2 linked regions of the Caenorhabditis elegans genome follow. The protein of the gene in region 2 interacts with the protein of the main gene of each other region in a pairwise test. Each region holds a gene or a part of one and is shown on either strand. Other genes may lie near its edges.

Evidence for each region.
Region 1: the proteins of C13F10.7 (region 2) and ZK632.12 interact in a two-hybrid assay, tested with the Caenorhabditis elegans proteins (2 studies listed by BioGRID).

The regions. Positions count from the first base shown.
Region 1 is NC_003281.10:9,824,947-9,837,138, forward strand, and holds ZK632.12 (uncharacterized protein), read left to right. Parts: upstream 1-5,855; 5' UTR 5,856-5,891; coding exon 5,892-5,907; intron 5,908-5,954; coding exon 5,955-6,347; intron 6,348-6,826; coding exon 6,827-7,035; intron 7,036-7,083; coding exon 7,084-7,224; intron 7,225-7,270; coding exon 7,271-7,312; 3' UTR 7,313-7,477; downstream 7,478-12,192. Other genes in the region: ZK632.9 (uncharacterized protein), read right to left, coding at 179-179, 235-368, 418-471; UPF0057 membrane protein ZK632.10, read right to left, coding at 1,702-1,749, 1,966-2,118, 2,164-2,205; ZK632.11 (uncharacterized protein), read left to right, coding at 2,972-3,054, 3,102-3,168, 3,215-3,294, 3,348-3,444, 3,495-3,778, 3,827-3,971, 4,016-4,225, 4,271-4,666; K11H3.8 (GYF domain-containing protein), read left to right, coding at 10,249-10,313, 10,362-10,762.
Region 2 is NC_003283.11:7,216,614-7,228,428, reverse strand, and holds C13F10.7 (CCHC-type domain-containing protein), read left to right. Parts: upstream 1-5,176; coding exon 5,177-5,291; intron 5,292-5,490; coding exon 5,491-5,562; intron 5,563-5,611; coding exon 5,612-6,093; 3' UTR 6,094-6,371; downstream 6,372-11,815. Other genes in the region: gei-6 (GEX Interacting protein), read left to right, coding at 1-172, 226-889, 1,595-1,892; fkb-3 (peptidylprolyl isomerase), read right to left, coding at 2,200-2,628, 2,704-3,060; C13F10.1 (50S ribosomal protein L6), read right to left, coding at 3,488-3,499, 3,548-3,691, 4,061-4,351; kxd-1 (KxDL domain-containing protein), read right to left, coding at 6,372-6,415, 6,465-6,667, 6,717-6,799, 6,858-6,950; C13F10.6 (FTH domain-containing protein), read left to right, coding at 7,450-7,584, 7,639-7,777, 7,828-8,530, 8,724-9,072, 9,129-9,215; C13F10.5 (SAYSvFN domain-containing protein), read left to right, coding at 9,440-9,623, 10,256-10,325, 10,572-10,752.

The sequences.
Region 1 (12,192 bases), on a different chromosome or scaffold from region 2:
AAATACAAAAAAAAATCGATTGCTAGACAGCCTAGCCGGTGGGTACTTTACAAATTTTAAATTTACACAATACGGTTAAAAATAATGAAGAAACGAGAAACAAGGTAAAAAACATGAATCAGTGGGCAGTCGGTGGTGGAATAGAGAAATAGTGTCGGGCAGTCACATGAAGAATGATTCTGAAAAATCAAAAATAGGAACATGGTCCGCAAACACGGTAGCATATTAACGCACCACTTCTCTTTTCTCTTTGCCTCTCCGTTGCTGGCGGTTTGAACAACCTTGCGAGTGTCCCCTCCTGGCTGAGATGCGTGCTTGTGCTCCACTCTGTCAGACTTGGTGCGCTTTCCGCTTCCAGTGGTGAGATCCTAAAATTGAAATTATTCAGTTTAAATACAATATATGCATTGCACTGACCGGTCCTCCGGTTTGCTCGAATGCGGCAGCCATTTCTTCAGCAGTCGACGACATCTCGTTGGTAATTTTCTGCAACAAAAAATTATTATAAAGCTTAGAGACGTGTAAGCAACACAAAAATGAGAGAATGAACCGACACAAGAATGACCAAAACAAGTGTTATCAAAGTGAAATGGACGATGATTGGCAGTTGCATGATTAGAAAGAAGTAGGCAGAAAAGGGAGGAGAGTGCCAAGAAAACAAAACTGTGAAAGAACCGATTGAATAGCATTTGAAACGATTGGAGTGTGTTTATTTGAAGGACGATAGTGACAAATCTAAATTTTGGCGCGCGTAGTGTTGACGAAGATCAAATCTATTTACAAGTGTAAATGTTTAAAATCGATAATTTGAAATTTTCGATTAGGAATAAGGCTGAAAAGTATTTAAACAAAGCTTCAATTGAGAAATACCAGAAAAATTCGTTAAAAATTTTCAACGAGTTTAAAGGAGGGCGCATTTGTGTGGAATTTGTGTGGCGTAGAGATTTCTTTATTGATTTTTCTCGTTTTTTTTTTTTAATATTCTGACTTATATTGCGTTTATCAGCCATAATAAATGTTAAAAAGGTCGAAAATGAGAAAAATCAATGGAGAATGAAAAACAACTCTAAATGAGAGTGCGTTTTTGTAGAAAAGCTCTACAAAAGTGAGAAATAAAGTAACGTTTTCAGGCTTTTTTTCAAGAATAGAAATCTGCCTGAATATTTTTAGCGAATCAACAGCAGACGGACAGTTTCATTCAAATACTCGTATTTATACATTTGCGTTGGCGCCAGAGACACGTGATGGATAGACGAGCGGAGACCATCGAAAAAAGTAAAAATGAAAAGAGACGCAGAGCAGCACATTTTGAGGGCTGACTTGTTTCTGCTAGATATATTGGTGCGGTGTCATCGAAGGCACAGAACAAAAAGAAAAAAGAAGCAAGAAAGAAAAAAAAGAAACGAACAAACAAGACAAAAAAAATAAATCGATCGGAACAAAGCACCGATAGATCATAAAATGGTGATAAATAAAACAATGTATATCGAAAAGAGGAATGATTTATTTTTTCAATGGAGGGAATGAACACAATCTCATTAAGGCCTTAGAATGAGAAAATTCGGCAAGTGATACAGTTTTTGATCATGGACCTGTGACAATAAGTCAAAATTGCAAGGGGTGAATTAAAGGTTTACAAAGGATAAAGAAATACATTTATGTCGTGGAGCGCAAAGTAGGAACGTGTCTTGTCGTGAGCATTTAAGCCGAATAAGGAGAATAAGCTGGTGGAGCGGTTCCGTGGTCATTCTGAAATAATTTTAATTTAAACATTTATTAAGCTTTGTAGAAAGACAACAAAGGAAACAGTAGGATGAATCATGGACAAGAAACCGACCCCCTTGTAATAAATTTCAAAAAAAAAGTCACCATTTTATCAAGATTCAAGGGTATCTGTTGTTCTGAAATTTGACAAATCACTATCTTTTTCCTTTTGGCTAATCTTTTTTCCAACTATCCACTTACAGTCTGCACGTATATGTTCTGAACGACAGTCTTCTCCTTGCAAAGGATGATGTACCACGCGTGAATGATTCCTGGGATGATCCCGAGACAGGTGAGAAGAATGTTGATGAGGAGGTCACAGTTGCATCCAACATCCAGAAGCACAGCGATTGGCTGGAAAATAGTGGTTGAAGAATGGTTTCAGACTGAAGAACTCACCGGAAGGAAAATTGCAAGGATGGCGAGAAGAATCTGGCACATTTCGTTTTCGTTTCGACGAGACTTGAGCTGAAAAACAGAGATTATTGGGAGAATTGCAAGTATTGAAGATAGATTAAAAAAGTGTGAGATTTCGGTGATTAAATTAAACTATAAAGTCATCACTTCCAGCAACACGGAAGGTTTATCGATTGACGATGAATCAAAAAATTGCGCAATCGACGAACGCGATTGTGGTTAGAATCACAAGACAACACCTCGCTCGTTGGCTATCGCTGTGTGTCTGCTCTCTCTTCAGAACTCTCGTGCTCTAATACAGAGAAGCATGAAATGTGGTGCTTGGTGCCTAAGGAATTTTTTAATATAAAAGTTGACGTGTCAGAATCATTCATTTGAAGAAAATGCAGAAGAAGAAGTAGAAATACTGTGAAAATTGTTTTTAGTATGGGTTGTAATTGTTTATTTCAGACAGTAAATTGTAAAGCTAAATATGTTGTGAAAACAATTTAATTTTAGAAATATTATTTTTAATCTTCAATCAATGTAGCAATTTTCAAGAGAAAATAATGCGAAAACCTGATTTTCTTTTGATAAAAAAGAATAAAGTTTGAAAAACAAACATGTAAACAAGTTACGGTGAATGTTCACAGAACCTGCATACAGATTCGGTGTTTGCGTACATGTGTACCGTACCCACAAACAAAAAACATGCGTTGATTGGAAATTTCGCAATTAACTTTTATTTTTGTCACTAAAATTATTATTAAAATATTTAGTTTCATAATTTCTCATAAAATATTTTCAGATAATGTCCGATATTGAGATTATTGAAGAAATTCAACCAGTTTCGTTGAAGCGGAAGCAGCCGAGTACTTCTTTCAATGGAAAAAGGTTTCTTTTTGGAAAATAATCGAATTTTTTGATATTTTCCTTTTTAGAAAAAGAACTTCTTCTGGGCTTATAGAAAAAAGCGAAACAATGAAAGGAACGGAAACAGAGTTTGAGGTAACCTTCACAATATTCACTTCAGTTGATTTTTTTTGTTTTTCAGAAGTTCGTCATTGATCGCACCATCACTCCACAAAGAAAATTGAATGCAGAAGATGTAGAAAAAAGTGGAGAAGATATAGGGTAAAAAAATATATAGTTAATTCAATGACTTTTCCAATAAAAATTCATTGCAGGTCGAGCGAGTGGCGTAAACGCCTTGAATGCACTCTTCTCGGAAGCGTTTCGACCCCAGTAACTGTGAAGAAGGAGAATAACATTAGAAAGAAAATAGTAAGCTTTTATTCATTCACAAAGCTTCTTAAACTAGGAATTTGTTTCAGTCTTGTTTCAATTGTGATGGCGAACACAACCTGAGAGATTGTACTCAGCGGAAAGATTTCAGACGAATTTCAAGGAAAAAGAGGGAATCTGGTGATGGAAGGCAAAGAGTTTTCTATAATGACGTTGGAATATCAAAACAAAGAGAGAAACATTTCAAACCTGGTGTGATCAGCGATAGATTAAGAGCCGCTCTTGGATTGCGTGGGAATGATATTCCGGAGCACATTTATCGAATGAGAAGACTTGGGTTAATCGATGGATATCCGCCAGGCTGGTTGAGAAAGTATGAAAATGGTAAATTTATGCAATTTAATATTGTTATTAATTTCAGATCAATCAAATCCACCGATCAATTGAAATTCTTCGACTCGACATCCAAAGAAGATGATGAAATGTCAGTGAAGCCTCCTGAATTAGATACATCGAAAATTGTATGGTATCCAGGATTCAATGGAGAACAATCTTCTCTAAATGATGTAAGAACAAATATGTTGTCACTTTAGAAATTACATTTTTATAGCGTGAAGACTTCAAGATTCCACCAAGAGATGTATTTTGCTCAGTTTATCAAGATGAATTGCTGAAAATATTCAAGAAAAGTGAAAAAGCGGAGAAACGAAGAGCCAAATCAACTCCGAAACATAAAAAGTTCGCTAATGAAGATGATGATGATGTTATAGTAATCACAAGTGATGAAATCAAAATTGACAAGTTCAATACTCCGGGAGAAGTAAATTAAATTAAAATAAAAATTCAATATCAGTTACTTTTCCAGGAAGATTCCATTATAATACTCGACGGCTCTGCTTCAACAGAAGAAAAACACCTTTTGACTCCGATTCGAAAAGATGTAAAACTAGGAGAATCGATGTTTGAATTAATCGGAACTCCAGTGTTTGGTAGCTCTCTTCTTACTCCTGTTGCTCCACTTGAAGCGTTTGCCGTCGGAATTCAACCATTTGAAGCAAGAGAAGAACTTACTGGATGCAAGGGAAACTTCAGAAATCTCATGGACAAATTGAAAGAAATCCGCGAAAATAACTTCGTTCCGGAGCCTGAAGAAGAAGTTATTTTGGTTTCAACGAATGAAATTTCGTCGTCGAATAACTCTGGAACTGCTAAGAACAAAAATAATCAGAACAGGAAAAGAAATAGAAGACATGCTAAATGAATTGGCTTTTTGAAAAATCCTTTTGTTGAATTATTGTTGTTGCTTAAAATTGTTGTTGTTGTTCCATATTTTTACGCAAAACTACCATGATAAAACCTTTTTTCTTGATTTTCCAACCTCTCTCTTGTTGTAAATGGTTCCGAATGTCCACAATCTTCTATTTTGGTCATCAATTATATCTTTATCTCTGCGTTTCTTTCACTCTTGCCGCTTTCCGATGGATTGGTGACACACAGCAAATATCGGTTTTCTCAATTTAAACTAAATTGGTCTAATTGGCTTATGTTTAATCAGATTATTTCGAGAAACCTGTGAATATTAAAAAGATGGTATAGGTTTTGAGGGATTTTTTGCCGAATTTATTTTTTAGAAAGTGATGGAATTTTTTATGATTGCAAATTTTTTTAAAAATTATTTAAAAACGAGCTGAATTATTTTTTGAATTCCCGCGCAAACGAATTCCTAAAGTTTCGACGTTTTCAGGTTATATTATTAAGGTTTTTATTAAATTATTGATTCGAAACATAATTTTGTAAAACTTTCATACATTTTTTCCCGCAAAACAAGTTTACATTATTGATTTGAGGCCAGATTTAGAGTTTCAGAGAAGTTCTTTAGATTAACAAAATAAAATAAAAAGAAACCCCAATTAATATAGCCGGAAAAAGCAAAAAATATCGAAATTGTGTAGATCACTTGCGCGGGAATTCAGAAAAAGTTTAGCCTTTTTAATCATTTTTTTTCCAAAATTGAAAAAAATCATTTAAAACAATGTTCAAATTTTGTAATTTTGTTACAGTTATTTTCGGTAAATATATTGAGATTGTTATTGTTAATTAGAAGGAAAACCTACAAAATCTGCTCCCATACCATGCATAACTATATTTAAGATCCGAAATCTTATTCAAAAAAGTAATAAAATTAATTGAAACCTTTTTTCCAGGCCACCAGTTGTTCTTATCATTCATTCGTGACAATTTATTCATTGCATTCTTTTTCTTTCGTTCAGGCAGCGGTCCACTGGCTTGTCCATCCGATTGTTTGCACATAAAGTGTATGATGACTCATCACATTCCTTTTCCCTCTCTTCTTATTCTGTTCTCACTCAAAATAATTTTTTGTTATGATTTTCAACCTTCTTCGTCTCGAACTAAATTTATGAATTTTTTGAAATATTCAAAGTTTTCAGCGGATTCTTTCCATCGTTTCTAAATCACAAAACACAATGGTTGATCGACTTGGTAAGTTTTATTTATTTTCTTTTATAAAATAATTTATTAAATTTTAGTGAATAGTGAAGTGAATTCCCGTCGAATGGCTAACGTAGAACAATGCTTTGGAAAAATGGGAGAACAATTGTCGGTATTCGGACGAGTTCTTGTCGGAGAAGGTGTTCTTGTGAAAATGTGCCGAAAGAAACCGAAGCAACGGCAATTCTTCTTGTTCAATGATATTCTTGTATATGGAAACATTGTGATTTCGAAAAAGCGATATAATAAGCAAAGAATTCTAAGATTGGAAGGTGTACAAGTAGAAGATCTGGAAGACGATGGAATTGAGAAACATGGATGGATTATTAAGACACCTGCAAAATCGTTTGCAGTTTATGCAGCAACTGAAACTGAAAAACGAGAATGGATGTTGCATATTGAGAGATGCGTTACAGATCTCCTTGAAAGAGGTAATACACGAAAATTATTTTCAAAAAATTTCCACCAAAAAATTGCAGAGAAAGTTTGAAACCACCGTAATCTTTAAAGGCGCTTACCATTTTCCGTTTCAAAAAATCTTGTCGTTTCGAGACCGAAAACCGTATTTTTAATGCAACAATCGCAACATTTTTCGTCTAATTAATATTAAGCTTAAATAAGTCTTAGGCGCATTGTGGTCTTTTTATTTAAAAAAATGTTGGCAGCAATGTTCAATTTAATTTATAAATTGTGATGCAAAATTGGTCCATAGATCGACAAGTTACAGTAATTTGTTGTCCGCCTGGCGAGACCCATGCGCCTAAGATAGGTGAAAAATTCTCATATTTAAATGACCAATAATATACGTTCTACAAAAAAATTGGGAATCACCATATCTCTAAATTAAAACGGTTTTTTAGATAAATTATTTTTTTCTATTAAAAATACAATCAAAATTTTCTACTTTCAGGAAATAAGCAAGCCGCGACTGCTCACGCAGCTGTATGGGTTCCCGATGGTGAAGCAGTGAAGTGTATGGTCTGCGGGAAAACTCAATTCAATCTGGTTCAAAGAAGACATCACTGCAGAAATTGTGGACGTGTCGTGTGTGGCGCCTGCTCATCGAGAACATTCCGTATTGACAATGTACATAAGAAGCCTGTCCGAGTTTGTGATCATGTACGGTGAAGTTTGACACTTTATCGTCTAAATATCATGATTTTTCAGTGCTTTGACAGTCTGAGTAGTGCCACACCAGGACAAGAAGAAAGTGAACCAAAAACGGGAAATCGCTTGCACCATGAGGATTCCTCCTCGGATAGTGAAGACGAGGTCAATGGTAGTGGACGATCGAGTAATGAGAGCCGGGTATACTGAATATTGCCTAATCTTTCAATAAACATACAAATTTCAGCCAACATTCTACCGTGAGGACGTTCAGCAGCCGGCAACATAGTTCAACGCATATAAACTACGATGAAAATTCTAAAATCCACGTCCTCATTCCTACTACTAAATTAATATTATATTTTCTTAAACGTTCCTGTGATATACAGCAATTGTACGTATTTTTTTTTGTTGCTTCCAACGACTTTTACAATTCCTGAAAAAAAGTTATTTCCTTTTTCTTCAATTCAAGATTATTCAGAACTGCACAAAATTAAAACGACCACATGACAGAAGGAATCATTTTAATAATCATGAATTACAGAAATGATCAAATTTCTTGTCCTTACAAGAAACAGCGCAATTAACTGAAGTGTTCAGAGAAACGTATGGTCCATTCGGCTTGGAATCATATAAATGTTCTTAAATTATTAAAAGTAAAATAAATGTTTTATTTACATATGATTAGTGAAATCAGAGCACAAAAGTGTGCAATGAAAAATAAATTTTATTTTCTGGAGTACTGTAAGCGGGCACATGGTGTATTGTACGCAGAGTTCTTCGAGTGTTTGCGTATCCACGTTGTTCTCCACGTGGACAAAACGCGCGGCACGTTTACTTTCTGAAAATTCGTTTTATTTTTGCATTACTGTCTTCTTAAAAGCTGAAAATGGCTGCAAACGAAGTGTAAATTTCATAAATTCCTAAGCTTTTATTCATATATATATATATATATATATTTCATCATGTCCTATTTTTGCAGTGATTCCATGGAACCAGGAGAATTGATGGAAGTGGATACGAGCCAGGAGCTGGATGAAAACACTTCGGCGAAGGAAACGGACCAGCCGAGTTCGTAATAATGTTACCATTCGAAATAACCTTGTTCAAAAGTTTTCAGAAGATGCTCAAAATGATCCAGAAATTGTATGCGGCGATAGTAATGAGGTCAAGAAGGAGTCTCCGAGTGTAGAAGAGGATCAGTCAAGTACTGAAACTATGTCTAATGAATTTGAAGTGGCCGCTGCAATTCTCGAACAAGAAAACGAAGATTCCGGTCAGAACGCCCCCAGTTTGGGAGAATTGCTGTCTCGGAGTGTGAAGTTAGAAGCTTTTTTTGTTACTTATTTTAAAAACATCATTTCAGTAATTACCACCCTGAACATTACTCTTCACCACCTCTCATGCGTAAACCCGATTTCCGTTTTCCAATCATTAATCCTGGTTTGTAGAAAAACACGTTTACTTAAAAGATATTGTGAATTACAGAGAAAGCTCAAGGAAAACTATTCGTTCTCTATCAGCTGATTATTACCGTTCCGGACTCGTTGAAGAAATTTCCTCCGTACACATCAGAAACAGTTTGCTGCCAACTGTGCGGAATCGATTTGATGGGATCAGCTATGTTTGCTCATCTGATCACTATCCAACATCTTAAGTTATAGAACTGCTTGTTCTCAGAGAATGACGTCGATTTCTGGATTTATAAAGTGAACAGTGTAATCGAGCAGGCGCCTTCAAATGGTAAAGCTCAGTTTACGTTCTTTTGTTTTACTTTTGATTTCAGCTCTGATCCTACCAGGTTTCAACCCTGATACAAATGTGAACTTCTCGGAAACGGTCGGCGAATTCATCAATCGATCGAAGGGATTCGTTAAGAAACCGAGTACGATTAAAAAAGTTCCGTTGTTAATGGAAATAATTTAAATAAATCAGACCTCGAGCAGATCAAAGCCGTCATTGGTGCAGTGATCGATATTAAGGCAGCTGTTGAATATTCGTCAATGAAAGCGAATAGGCCAAGTAAAAACAAAGTTAGGAGCAAGAATTCTAATTCAGAGCAAAAGCGAACCGGAAACTTCCTCTCTCAAGTCGTCGAAAATCTCATGACCAAGGTTGACGCGAATATCTTATCGAGGAGGGTTGGAAAACTATTCAAGAATCACGTATGTTGCTTTCGAAAGTATTGTAATTTTACTCAATTATTTCAGAATGAGTGCACTTTCTGCAACATAAAATTTATTTCATTTTTTGAAATGTGCCGTCACGTGGGAAGCATTCAACTCAGAATGAAGGTAATTTTAATTGAATGTTTCGCCGTTCTGCCGTCTTCCAATAATTCTAAATAATTTCAGATTAACCACTTGCGTTATCAAGATGTCCATGTTGGAACTTGGGTGCGTTTTCTGGCTTCGGCAACTCCACAGAAACAAACAATTGAAGATGTAATTGACGGAGGCTCTTCGAAAAAGGTGCATTCACCTGAAATAATCTATATTGACTAATATATAATATTTTATCGTGTTTTATAGGATCTCAATTCGCTTTTATTAATCTTGTGTCATAGAAATTCCTATGTATTCGTTTCTTTTTCTTGTAAAGTAATTTATTTTTCTTCTATAATATAAACTTTTTTGGAATTGTATCGTTTATATAATTTCGAATATAGTGTATACTTTACACTTTTTTATATCTTTGATATTTTCTTCCGAAGGAAGCCAGTTTTAAGAACTAATATGCTGTACTTACCATTCGTTGTAGGATTTCTGAGAAAACTCATCTCAATTTTTTTAAAAAATAGTTCAGATTTTCTGCGATTTCATTTTTTGGAAATTATATTTTAATGAACAATTAGGTAATTTAATGCAATTTTTTAAAGCCGTTGTGTGCTTATGGGGATAAAATTGTATCATTCCAATAGACCCAGTTTTTAACATTTTTTCTTGCAGAAATATTATCTGACTATTCGTTTCTTCTTTGAAAATTTTTTGATTTATCCGTATTTTTTCATATAATTTTCAAATTTTTCTTCCAAAAACCAAAAAAAAGTTAATTTTAAAAAAGTTAAAAAGTTTATAAAAAAATAATATTTTTGACTTTCGAAAAATAAAATCAAAAAGCCGACACCATTGCTTTTTGTTATACGAAGTAATTTAGAAAACCTCTTTGAATTTTATGAATTCAAAGAATAATAACTATGTTTCAAATAATAATATTTATTTCAGAATGGAGATGGAAGACATAGACGACGATATAACTGTGTTCTACACTGACGATCGTGGTACAGTACAGTAGGTTTTCTATTCTTTTATGAAGTTTTAAGTAATTTCATTTTTCAGAGGACCATACGGAGCCTCAACTGTGCTTGATTGGTACCAGAAAGGATATTTCTCGGACAATCATCAAATGAGATTCACTGACAATGGACAACGAATTGGGAATTTATTCACATATGAAACTACATTGGGTGAGATGAAAGCGAGATATGGAGAAGAAGCACCGATTCCGACGAAACTCGAAGATTTTAATTTTCGTGGATTCTCAATTAAACCGAAATCTAATAAAAGACAACTCGATAGAGATCCACTTAAATTACCAAGGAAAGTGAATCCGAGAGATCTGGAACCAACCGATGCCAGAAACAGGAATGGAAATTATGAAAATCGAAATGAATATGGTTATAACTGTGATAGACAAAGTACAAGCGCAGTGGATTCTAGGAACCAATCTGTACCGCCCGGTATGTTTTTTTTCAGAAAAGATACTTACCGTATTTCCTCTATTAGTCCGGCAGCCTCTATTAGTCTTGCACCCCTACGGACCAATCGAAAATTAGTCTTGCAGCCTCTATTAGTATTGCATGCAAGACTAATAGAGGAAATACGGTGATAGTCTTGCACCCCTATTCCTGCCAGACCAGCAGTATTTTGTGAAAATAATAATAATTGTTTATTTGTCACAAGAAAGAGCTACACCGGAAGATTAAAAAAAAGTAAATAAAATGATGTGTGGACAAATAAGTAAAATGACCAGTTGGACCAGCTATAGCCCGGGAGGTCAAGTTGAGGGGAAGAGGGTGTCGAATGGAATAGAGCCTAGGCGCGACGCAAATGCATTTGGAGTTAACAATTGAGGGAAACGTTTTGCTATTCGATTCCACAACGACAAGTTAACATGTAAAAAAAATTTAGACGGGACACCACAGATAACAAGTAGATAGGGGTGACGAGTAGAGCGTGAAGCTCGAACAAACGATGATAAGGACGGGAAGTGATACTCGCTTGAAATAATTTTATGGAAGGTTCGGAGGATTTGAAGAACCCGTCTGTGGTGAGTAGACAATAAATTAAATTGTGAAAGCCTGCTGCTGTATGACGAGTAAGATAAATTGCACCTTTGAAAGACACACTTTGAGAAAAACCGGAGGGGAGATTCTAGTTTTTTGGCAAGTTCGGTGGAGTTGGGCGGGAAGAGCTCGCAGCCATATTCGAGTACGGGGCGGATGTAAACATTGAACAGTTTAAAATAGAATTCGGGACTTTTAGAGCGGAATGAGCGAAGGATTTGGCGACACTTAAGGAGGGCACTATTAGAAGTCTGATTAATATGATTTACAAATGATAATTTGGTATCGACAATGATTCCGAGATCTCTGATAGAATCACGCGGTTTAATTTCAACACTATTTACAAAGTATTTATGACGGGGGTTCTTTTTACCAAAGTGTAATACGGCAGTTTTTTGCTCAGCAAGATTTAGACGCCATTAAAAAAAAAAAAAAACTTCAAAAATTTCGCCATTTTTTAGTTAAAATAAATTTTAAAGTGTTCAAGTAATTGATAAAACAATAGAAAAGCATGTATTTTGCACGATTTAGACTGTTTCAAGCCAAATTTTTGACGATAAATGATCAACTTTACAAAGCTATTGGATCTTCGAAAATTAGTCATGCATGCAATACTAATAGAGGAAATACGGTAATTATTTCTGGAAACTAAATAATATTACTTGAGCACTAAATTCTGAGAATGCCTATTACGCAGCATATTTGATTTTCTCAATTTTCTTTAGTTTTTCGTGCTTTCTCTATGTATTCTTTCAATATTTTACCGATTAATAAATGATTTCCGTAAATCGACACAAGCGCTACAGTAGTCATTTAAAGAGTTA
Region 2 (11,815 bases):
ACTTCAGCAGCTGCTTCTAATTCTCTATTTGAAGCTCTTTCTAAAGTTCAAGCTGATAATTTTAGTGGCGGTGGAAGCACTCCGTCGTACTCGAAATCTTATTTGGAAGAGATGAACCGAGTAATGAGTACAAGAAAACGCGTCGTAGAGGAAGCCGCAGAGGTACAGAAAAGTAAGTTTTTTTCAGATTTATTAACTGGAAAATTATTTATTTATTTATTTCAGAGCCAAATCCTGCTCCGTCCGGTGTTACTGCGACTCCACCCAAAAAAGCAAAAACGTCAAATTCTGTTCCGCCAAACAAAATGGTGTCTGCCGCTTCTACACCTTCGTCATCGTCTACCCCAGGCCCCGCCAGTACAAGTGTCGGCAGGTTCACTAATTTGAAAAAGATTCCGAAACTTAGTGAAAAACCTCCACAAGCCGAATTTGCTCCAGCTCTCGGATTGTCTCAGAAAAGTGACGAGTCCGGTGAAATACCAGGATTGGGAATGGAAAAACTAGATGACAGTGTGAAGGAAAAAGAAAAAGAAGAGATGATGAAAAAGATAAAGCCAGCAGAATCAACGACTCCCACTGTCAAAGCATCGCCGGCTCAAAATCCGAATAAGCCAAATACTCCAGCTCAGAAGCAGAATAAGTTCAATGGCTCTCCAAATAAGAAACCAAATATGAGACCCGTCAATCGTACTGGTAATTCACAAGCTCCTCCCTGGCAAAGATCCCGACAACCATCACCACCTCCATCAAATCAGTCGCCATGGCGTCAACAACCTCAGCAACAATATGGAATACAATCGAATCAGAATCGAGGTTTCCAAATGGATTTGGGTATGGACAGGCCTTGGAGCGATTCTCCGTCTGGGCCAAGTGGTTCACGTTCAAATAAGTACGTTTTTTAATTACAAAAACCAATTTATTTCATAATTTGAAAAGTCTTTAAAATTCTAAAAATATTCTAAAGTTCAGAAATATCGCAGAAAAAAAAATAAAAAATCGAGCAATACTTTAAAAGATTCAACTTTTCTAAATTTTTAAAAATGATTTTATCAATTTTGTAAAAAATTTAAAGTGCTGAACCATTTTTTTGAATTCTCTTCGCAAATGAGTGACGTCATTTTCGCGTTTTCAGGCGATACTGATTTTTTATAATATGAAACTTTATTTGTCAGTTGTCAAACATTTTTCCGTAAAGAAAACGTGAAAATTCGAAATAAATTCGCTGAAACTTTAAAATTAGCCTGAAATTCGATAATTTATATTTGAAACACTTTTGTGCGGAAAAATGTCTAAAAATTGATAAATTATGTTTTTATAAAATTTATATTATAAAATTTAAAAAATGAAGAAAAACCAATCAGTATGGCCGAAAAACGCAAAAATGTCGAAAATTATGCCACTCATGTAATTCAGAAATAATTCATCCCTTCTTATTTTTTTCAAAATTGGAGAAATCATTAAAAATGTACAAATTTTTTAACAGTTATTTATATTCGATGCAGTGAGAATGTTCTCTGTCATTTAGGGCAAAATACCCATCAGATGAATTCCAAACCATAAGTTATTCAGTTTTAATATCCAATTTCAATTTTAGCAGCTTCTCCGACCTACCATGGCATCGAGCTCAAGATACTCCATTCGGAAAAGTTCCTATACAGGACAATTTTGCGATGAGTGGACCACGTCCGATGCCTCCGCGTCCTATGCCACCTCAACAATCTCCGTTCTTTAATAATGCTCCTGGAAACGGCTTCTATCCACCACAACCACGTGATTTTTCCCCGCCGCAACCTCCACAACAATCTCGAATGTTCCCACCGTCTCAGCCACCATTTGGATACGCTGGGCCTCCGAATCAAGGACGAGGAAACCCACGTTCATTTTACGGCTAAAATGCTCTTTCAGGACTCACCTTGTTCAATTCCTCTAATCGATCGCAAAGATCTCATCTAGTACTATTTTATAAGTAGTGTGTTTTAATTTTATAAATACCTGATGTATAGTTTTTGCTTTTTATACAATTCCTTTTTTCGTAATGAACTGTTTTAAAATTACTTATTCTTTTTAGATATTTTATATTCATTTCTTGTGTTCAGTGGATCACAATTGTGTACTTTTTCTTTTATTCATTTTAATACAAATTTATTGTTCTATTAAAAATAAGTTAGAAATTCATGAAAGTTGGGATTTTCAGTTAATCTAGAGTTCCTCTTTTCCTGGTCTGACAAGTTTCTCAAGTGAGAGATCGAAGTGAAGGTACGAGTTTCCTGGAATTGCTGGAGGTCTTCCATTTTCTCCATAAGCGAGCTCTGGTGGAATAACAACTTTTCTCTTCTCTCCCTGACACATTCCTTCCATGGCAATGTCCATTCCCTTGATAACTTGTCCGGAGCCCATTTTGAAGATAAATGGACGATTGCGGCTCCAGCTCGAATCGATGAAAGATCCATCCTCGAGATTTAGTGTGTACTGTTGATGAAGTGTATCTCCGGCTTGAGCCTTTTCGGTGCATCCCTCTACCTCGTGAGTAATGTGAATGTGAACTCCTTCATCAGTGATCCACTTGGCTCCGGGTTTTGGACGGAAGATTGATTTCAGCTCGACGAAGTAGTATAGAGTTTCTCCTTTCTAGAATAGTACAAATTACCATTTTATTTGTTTTGCAATTTAAAAATAGATTTTAAAAAATATAAATCAACTTACTCCTTCTACTTCATCTCCATCTTCGTCGAATCCTTGCTCTGGTGGAATGATCACTTTTCGCTGTTCGCCGACACACATTCCCTCCATTGCAATTTCCATTCCATGAATCACCTCGCCTTTTCCAAGAGTGAAAGTGTACGGCTTTTGGCCAAAGTTGCTTCCAATCACCTTACCTTCCTTGTCGGAAAGCTTGTAAAATTGCTCCAATTGATCTCCAGACTCGGATTTGATTTTGCATTTTGAGTCTCCAATTTTCTTGATAATTTCAATCTTGACACCTTCATCAGTGGTCCATGAACGGTCATTTGCTGCCCAACAGATGGCAAATAATGCTGAGGCAATAATTGATTTCAGCATTTTTGTGCTGGTTCGGTTTAGTCACTGAAATGGTTACTTAATTGTTGTAAATAGGCGGAATAAGTTACAAGAAAAGAAAAATCAAAACTTTTGAATTCAAAAGCACTACACGTGGAAGGAAAAGAAGGAAGCAACGACCGTCTTGCAAGTGTCTCCTTCCACTCATCTAGTTTATTCCGTTCTCGGTGGCTACCGCCACATCTCCTCTTCAGGTTTTGTTGCCGCGCAGTCCGAAGCCTGAGAGACGCAGATGAGAGACCTTCACCTTTTTATCTGCGCATTGGATCGGTTGTTTTATCAGAGAGATACTTGTTTTTTATTCACCACAAATCAATAAGTTATAGGTAACACAATTGGGAACGATTTAATGACGTGGCAAGATTATGGAAAGAGTGCGGTTTTTTTTTGGTTGGCATAAGTATTGAGATTATCGGGATCTCTGAAAATTAAAACTAGTTAGGTTTTTTGGGAAAATGAAATTTCTCACTTTGGAATTCAAATTGACTCGTTCTGTAAAACTTGTGTAGATGAGATTTCCAACTACCAAAAGTATCAATGATAACGATATGAAAATAACAAATCCGGCGGAGACACGGATCATAAGAGCAGCATAGTCGTATGGTTTCTCGATCTGAAAATCGGAAACTTTTTTTCCTAGTTGAACAATGCCTCTTTTTTGAGAAGGTAATTTTCAAATATTATATAACCAACAAAATTAACACTGTGGTTACGGTAGTATTTACAAAGTTACTGTAGACGTCGCAACGAGATATTCATTGTGCCAAATATGCTGCACAGTTCGTATAATTTCTGGCGGTTGCGTAATATATCGCAATTTTTAATCTCCTAAACTTCTCACTTGAAGGTACACGAATTCATTCATATAGGTCTCACCGCGAGGAAAATAGATCGTATTTTTTTATAATGAATATTAAAGATTTATTTATAACTCATAAATAAGAGAAAACTAGATTATTTCTTCAAATATAATAGGACTCACCTGCATTTTGGACAGATTTACTTTTGGAAAAAGATGGCGTGCTCTGTAACGACCCACTAATCGTGGAGAAAGTAAAGTGAATTTCGAAACGACGCGACGAGAGAACGTATCATGAGCGAGAAGCCGGGCAGTGTGCTTGAGAAGAGTTTGTCGAGAGCATCTTGTGCCCAGACCCAGCGCGGGAGAAAGAAAAGAGAAAGCGGTGGGAGAGGTTTTGTATTGATTTGCGGACATATAACAGATGGGGGTGGAGCTCTTGGAGTCATTTGTCAAGCTAACTTCGATCATCATTCGTCAAATTAATTTATTGGAACACAATATAATGAATGAAAGGAAAGAGTGAATTGGAAGCGTGTCGATTTACGGAGCTCGTGTACTCCCCGAGGAAAACAGTGAATTTTTGTTTTTCAAAAAAATATATAGTTCTTTGTGAAACGATTTTCGCGAATTCTTTTGTCAGTTAATTTTGAAATCGCTAATTTGTTCAATATTTTTATAGTATTCCAAATAAAATTCGCATTATTTACTGTTGTAAATCTACGAATTCTCGTTTTCTGTGGTTTTGAGTAGTAAATTAATAGATTATCCTCGAAAAAACTCGACGAAAATACACAAAATATGAGATATTATTGACGATTTAATAATCCAGAAATTTGAAAACTTGCAGGGTTATAAACCAGGAGTGCTTTTCGAACATTTTCGAGAAGTTTGCATAAATTTGCATCAGATAATACCTTTTTTCTAATTAAAAATATTTTATTCAAAATTTCAAACAACACCGTGCTAATGTGCTCTAGTGGAAAAAATCGTATTAATTTCGAAACTTTTCATATTTCTTTCTCACTTCTTCCATTGCTGCTTTTCACTTTTCTTGATAGTTCTCTTTTTTTTTGTTGAAAAAAATCTTATTTTTAAATCTTTTCAGCATGTTTTCCAATTCTTCTATGTTCTCTGATTAAAAAGCGCCGAAAAATCGATAATTTTTCTATAAAACCCATCTTCCCTTGAGAACAGTTCTTCCCCTCTAAAACGCGCATAAAACCAGCGTCTTTTACCACCTCTTCACGTTATTTTTTGCTTATTTTTAGTACTCCCTAATATTCACTACAATTACAGATGGCGAACGCTAACCTGACTCCGATGCCGTTTGTGCGAAAATTCGGATCTACCAGTACAACTGTAACTACCACAACTGACACAGATAGCCCATTATCAAAAGATGATGAGTCAGGTAAGTAATCTTAAATTTTCAAAAATTAAATTACTATGGATTTATTCGCAAAAAAAATGTTTCCGAACAAAAAACAATTTAGGGGACGAAAAAAGCGAAAAAAAACTTTTTTGAAAACGACTCCAAAAAAGAAACTTGGTTTTTTGGAAAAAAAGTATTTATAAATTTTTCAAAAAAAAAACTCAAAATCTACTTTCAGGTAAAAAACCTTCACTTGCTTCCCTAGCACAGTCAGCGTTCCCATCAAGATACGACCCGAACGCCTTTGTAGGTACGGTAGTTCATAGGAAATTAAAATCACATAATTTGTTTAATTTCAGATATATCAGGTGCCGCAATATCTGCCCCCGCAGTCACGGGAGCATGCAAAAGATGTGGATATCCGGGTCATCTATACTTCCAGTGTCGAAATCACATTGAAGTACGTCCAAATGTATCGACAAAAGCGTACGAGGTCAGTTCGACATCATCTGAATCAAGTGACGACGAGACTCCGCTCATTGCTTTGGAAAAGCAGCGGAAAAAGGAGAAAAAGCTGAAAAAGAAGGCGAAAAAAGAAAAGAAGAAGGCGAAGAAACTCGAGAAAAAGGAGAGAAAGAAGGAACGGAAAGAGAAGAGAAGGCGACGAGATGATTCTGATGATAGTAGTGATTCTGATGAGGAAGAGGATAGAAAAAGGAAGAAGAGCAAGGAAAGTAAAAAGGAAAAAAGAAAACGCCGTCATTCTTCCTCAGATGATAGATCAGCTTCTTCCGATTCTGATGATGACTGTCGTGACTCGAAACGTCACCGTAGATCATAATCGTGTAATATTGATATTTTAACTCTAAATTTTTATTCCGACAGTAACCACCTCCACATTAATATTTTCTCTATTCAAATTTCTATTGTTTCTCTTGTGTCAAAAAGTCCCCATAGTGAAGTTACTAATTAAATTAAAAACAAAAAATTTTATAACTTATTTCGACTTCACTTTAATCAAAAATTTGAGATCTTTATTGAATTTCTGTGACTTGTATTTGTTCCAAATGATCTGTTATTTTTTTTCTTCTTGTTTTTCAATTACGAATAAATTGTATTTCATTCGTCTTCCTCGCTTCGTTTTGGCGTTAGCTCGGCTGACACTGAAATTTGATGAACTTTTTAAAAGTATTCAAATTAAAATATCTGCACCTTCAGCATAAACTTCTGGATACTTTGACGACAAAACTGTTTTGAACATGCGAATTTTTTTGAAAATAAATTCCAAATCAGTTTTCATCTGCAGAATTGTCTCTTTGTGTCCCACAGAATCCCTTTTTGCTTTTTCAATTCTTCGATCGCCGAGTTGAGCGCAATTCATGAGCATTTCATTTGTCTTTTCGAAGCGTTTCAAGCTGAAAAAAAAAGAAAAATCAATAAATTCTAAATTCTCCAGTATATTACCTCTGTCTCTGAGTATCAATTATGCTTTGAATTGTGAATTCGTCGATTTGAGAAGTGAGCGAATCGATGAGATGTGGTGTTTCCTGCATATTATTAAATATTTTTATTCCTTTTTCCCATTATTATTATTAGAAAGCTTACGGGCATGTCAAATGAAGAGCCAGCGTTGCTTCTTGATGGGAAAAACGGGTTGCCAGGTAGTCGTTCTTGTTGTTGGTGATTTTTCTCAGCCATTTATAACTGAAACAAAAAATTATTAATAAATGTTTTATTCTAGACACAACAAGACATAAAACATGAATAACGGCTGAAGCAGGGATTGAGAAAAACAAGAAAAAAGCATGAGAAAATGGAAGAAAAGAGCCGCGCGCTGTGAGTGTGCAACTCGAAAATGTCAAAGCAAATTTATCGATTTACGCACGCGCGCACTTGCTGACACGCATCTGGACGGCGTTCCGTTTCATTTGAAAATAGTTAAAATTAAGCTAATTGTTGATTTATTTATTGAATATCAATTATAAATCTTTTCACGAGAATCCATTAGTGACCACCACCACGCTCCGCTAGTCTCCCCGCACCTTTATCGATTCGATTCGGTCAACCGAATGTTTGTTCAAGCTGTTGCGCATAGATTTGTGTTCTTGTTCCGCTCATATCACATATATTTTTGCAGTTTTTGATGCCAAATGGTGAGGAAACGAAGACGTTACTATACTGGAATGACATGCTAATGATGAAGATTATCGAATTTGTTGAGAGGTTCAAAGATCGAAATTCACTGGAGCTTTCGAGTCGAAGATTGAGAGAATTGTGCTTGAAAACTCCGATTTCTGGAAATTTTGCGATTCGATTGGAAGAAGATCCTAATGTGAGATTGCTTATAATTATTTTAAACCTGTATTATAATTATGTTTTATTTCAGTGGCCATCAATTCTCACTCTTCTCATGCGACCTCGTAATTTCTCGTCCCGTCTTTCAGTTCGAAACTGTTCAGATGTTCCTGAAGATGAACGTAGCGAAATAGTAGGCTATAATTACAAGGATACTATTCAAAATCCAGGTAATTACTGCAAAAACGATAATTTTCAGGAATTTATTATTAAATTTAAGATGTTTTCTTCAACGGAGTCAGCAAGCGACTTCTCAATCGGATAGTGGAGTTTGAAATTAGATGCCGTCGATTTACTGTACAAATTCTGGACAATATAGAAAAGTTTCCCAAATTAAACAGAATCATTGTGAGAAATGCACGAAACTTTTCGTTTGAATTGGATGAGGAATCAGGCGACGCCGCCGTTTTGGATCGAATCGAATCATTGGAACTTCATCTCGATCGACAATGGTGTACGGAAATTGAACGAATGAAACGACTAATAAATCCAAATTTGAAACATTTCTGCTGCCACGTCAATCCGAGCCTATCTAAAAACTCGTGGTTCATTGAAGAAATTATGGTCGAGATGGCATTGCATGAAGTTCAACTGGAAACGTGTCAGCTGGTTTTTCCTGATCCACAAATGCCGCGAAATCTTATTATTGCTTTGACTCAATTCATGTCGGATAGATCACGAGTTTTACAAGTATTCATCACAAATGGACCATATAATCTTTCACCGACAAGAAAAATGATTCCAACTTTGAATATTCAATTTCGAGACGAAGAGGATAATACTGTCAAGGATCTAGCTGATGCTTGCCCGTCGATATTCAAAAAAGCAGAAGTTATTCATATGACGAATCTTCACGAAGACGGCTTTATTCAACTCGAAACGGTTCTGCCGATAATGTACTCTGTCAAAGAGCTTCTCATATCGTATGTTCAATTTTCGAAAAAAAAAGAGTAGAGTCGTTTGCAAAATTGAAAAAAAAAAATAATACAAAATTTAGAATAATTTTATACATTTTTAAGCATCTTATATTCGGTATACTGAGACTGGTTACTGTAATTTATGGAAAAAAACCACTGTCTCTACTCCACTTTTTAATTTAAAAAAACAATTTTTCAGAAGCTGCCCTCAGAAAGAAGAGATCTGTCCAATCGATCAAATTCTTGCATTCATTCCGTCAACAGTTCGAACACTTTATCTAAATGACTGCAAGCTGACTCCATCTTCCATTGATCTATTAATTTCCCGATGTTCTACAACTCTCCGGAATCTACATTTTCATAATAATGGATCTTGTAATACTGTACAAAATTTCACAAAACTTTTGGATGGCCTTCAAGAACTAAGAATATTAGAACTGGATATGTTAATTCCGCATCTTTTATTCCCAAAAATTGTGGAGCACCAGAAATTAGAAAAACTCATTGGACTCGTGAACGGAACTCTACCGGAAAATTCATTAGAAATTGTAAGTTTAAATTCTAAAAATTATTTTTTTTTTTCAAAATTTGTGAATATTTTCAGCTACGCCAACATTTTAACCACGTCAATCTCAAGAAAATTGATCGTCAAAAACATCAACTCACGGTTTCCAATCCATCTCATCACTGATCTCCAAAAAAAAACCATATTTGATCTCATTTCTGTGATTTTGAAAATTAAACGAAAAATCTAAATAGTCGAAAAATTTTATAAATAAGTTTTAATTTTTATTTTTGAACTTTTCAGTTTGTTTTTTGATGGTTCGTAAATCCATTAATATTATTTCAAACGACTTCCCAATTTTTAGTTTCAAATTTTAAATAGCTCCCCTCCTCTTTAGAAGATCCATAAAAATGAGTGATGTGCTCCGAAACCTTCAAGAATTTCGAAAAGAGAAAGAGAAAATAAAGTTAAAAGAAAGGCAAGAAGTCGAGCAAACTACACAAAAAGACGTGGAAAATGTGATAAAGAAAGAATCGCCGAATGGACGGGAATGGAACTTTTTGACAAAGGCTGAGCCGGTGCCAGAGGATTATGGTGAGCTTTTTTTTTTGGAAAAGAATCGAAAAGTTGAGATATTTGGAAAAAAACTTTAAAATTATTAGAAAACTTTTCTCAAAGTAAAAAAAAAACCATTTTGCATTTAAAACCCTATTGAAATTATGTTTTAAAACTTTATTTCGATGAAAAACGTTTTTTTTTAATTTTTGAAATTAATTTTAAAACAGATTTTTTGCTCGAAATGCCTGAAAACAGTTTCAATAAATCAAATTAAAATGAAACAAATAAAATAAAAATTGTTTCCAGTCGATGCAAAAAACATGAAAAAAAATATTACACGGACGCAAAAATTTCCAATTTTTATCCGAAAATACGGTACCCGGTCTTGACACGACAAATTTTTGCTAACTAAATGCGAAAGAGTGCGCCTTTAAAGAGTACTGTAATATCAAAATCTTGTGGCTGTGGAATTTTCATTGTTTTTTCATACTTTTTCTCAAGATTTTTTACTGTTTATATTAGTTTTTAAATATATAATATAAAAAATCGATGAAAATTCCACAGAAAAAAATAGTTCAAAATTACAGTACTCCTTAAAGGCGCACACATGCATCAAAAAACTTTCTCCCGTTTTCTTCTTTCCTATCCTGAGCTCTCTATATTTTCAGAAGAGCAGTCTGTGGTCTCTACACGAATCGCCGTGGTTGTATACGTAGTTGGTCAAGCTCTGGCTGCATGGTGAGCATTTATAACTACAATTATCCCGTTCATGGACATGATGACCGAGAGACACCGACATGACATGTGTTTGCCGAGTGAACCACTCGAAAGAGAAAGAGCAATGAAAAGAGAGAGAGAGAGTGTGGGCCTCTGCAAAAGCATTGTCTTTTTCCGGAGAGTACTAATTTTGGGATGCTTGACATGTCCCAATACATGTCCCAATCTTTCTCATTTATTTAATGAATGAAAAATTCAATTTTGAAGGGTCCAATTCGGAGCGGTCTTCTTCATTCTATCACTCATTCTTTTCACATATTGGAACACTGGAAGACGGCGACGCGGCGAGATGAGTGCCTATTCAGTATTCAACGACAATTGTGAGCGTCTCGCTGGAAGTATGACTGCTGAACATTTCGAAAGAGACATGCTCCGACAGAGGCGGTGATGTAAAGATCACAATTTGGTATAAAAGTAGGTCAATTTTTATCCTTTGAATTTTCCTAAAATTAGCGCTGGAAAAGTTAACAAAAATTCTATGAGTATATCAAAAATATACAACTCTTTTAGTGTTTTGGAACCTTTAAAACTGAATTCCAAAATATCAAATATTACAAAAACACAAAATTTTGAGAATGCGTATCGTGCATCAAATTTGACGCGCAAATATCTAGTGGCGAAAACTACAGTAATTCTTTAAATGACTACTGTAGCGCTTGTGTCGATTTACGGGCTCGATTTTCGAAATTAACTTTCTTTCGAATAGTGGCAGCGATATTCCATTTTCCTTCGTATTATTTTCACTTTAAAAAAATAATCTATCAATAAATAAATGATTTTAATTCATTTCGAAAATCGAGTCATTAAATCGACACAAGCGCTAAAGTAGTTTCATTTAGAGAGCTACTGTAGTTTTCGCCACGAGGTATTTTGCGCGTCAAATATGTTGCGCATTACGCAATCTTAGAATTTTGTGTTTTTATATTATTTTCTTTCAATTTAAGACAGTCTGAACGTTGACAGTTACACCTTGAATTCTTTTTTAAAAGTCGTGCAAAGTACTGAGCCCGTAAATCGACACAACCGCTACAGTAGTCCTTTAAAGAATTACTGTAGTTTTCGCTGTGAGATATTTTGCGCGTCGAATTTGCCGAGCCCGACAAATTTTGAAATTTGCCGCACACCCTGGACAGAATCCCATCGTGCCTTCTGTGAAATTCCTTGTTCAAATTAATACTCAAATTTGATAAAATTAGACATGTATCCTCCGGAATACAAACTACTCACTAATATATTCAACAAAAAGAGAGTATCATTAGTTGTAAGTAGCTCGATTTTCTCATTTCTCTCTCCTTTTTTGCGTCTTCCGTCACTTCAATTATTCGGTGAATCTAATCCTTTTTGGCGGAGAGAAAAGAGTCATTTGTTTATTTATATACAAATGACCAAAAACAAGATATTCTCATTAGTTCCGTAACGTTTTAGACGTTTTTGTTCTAGATGATATTAAG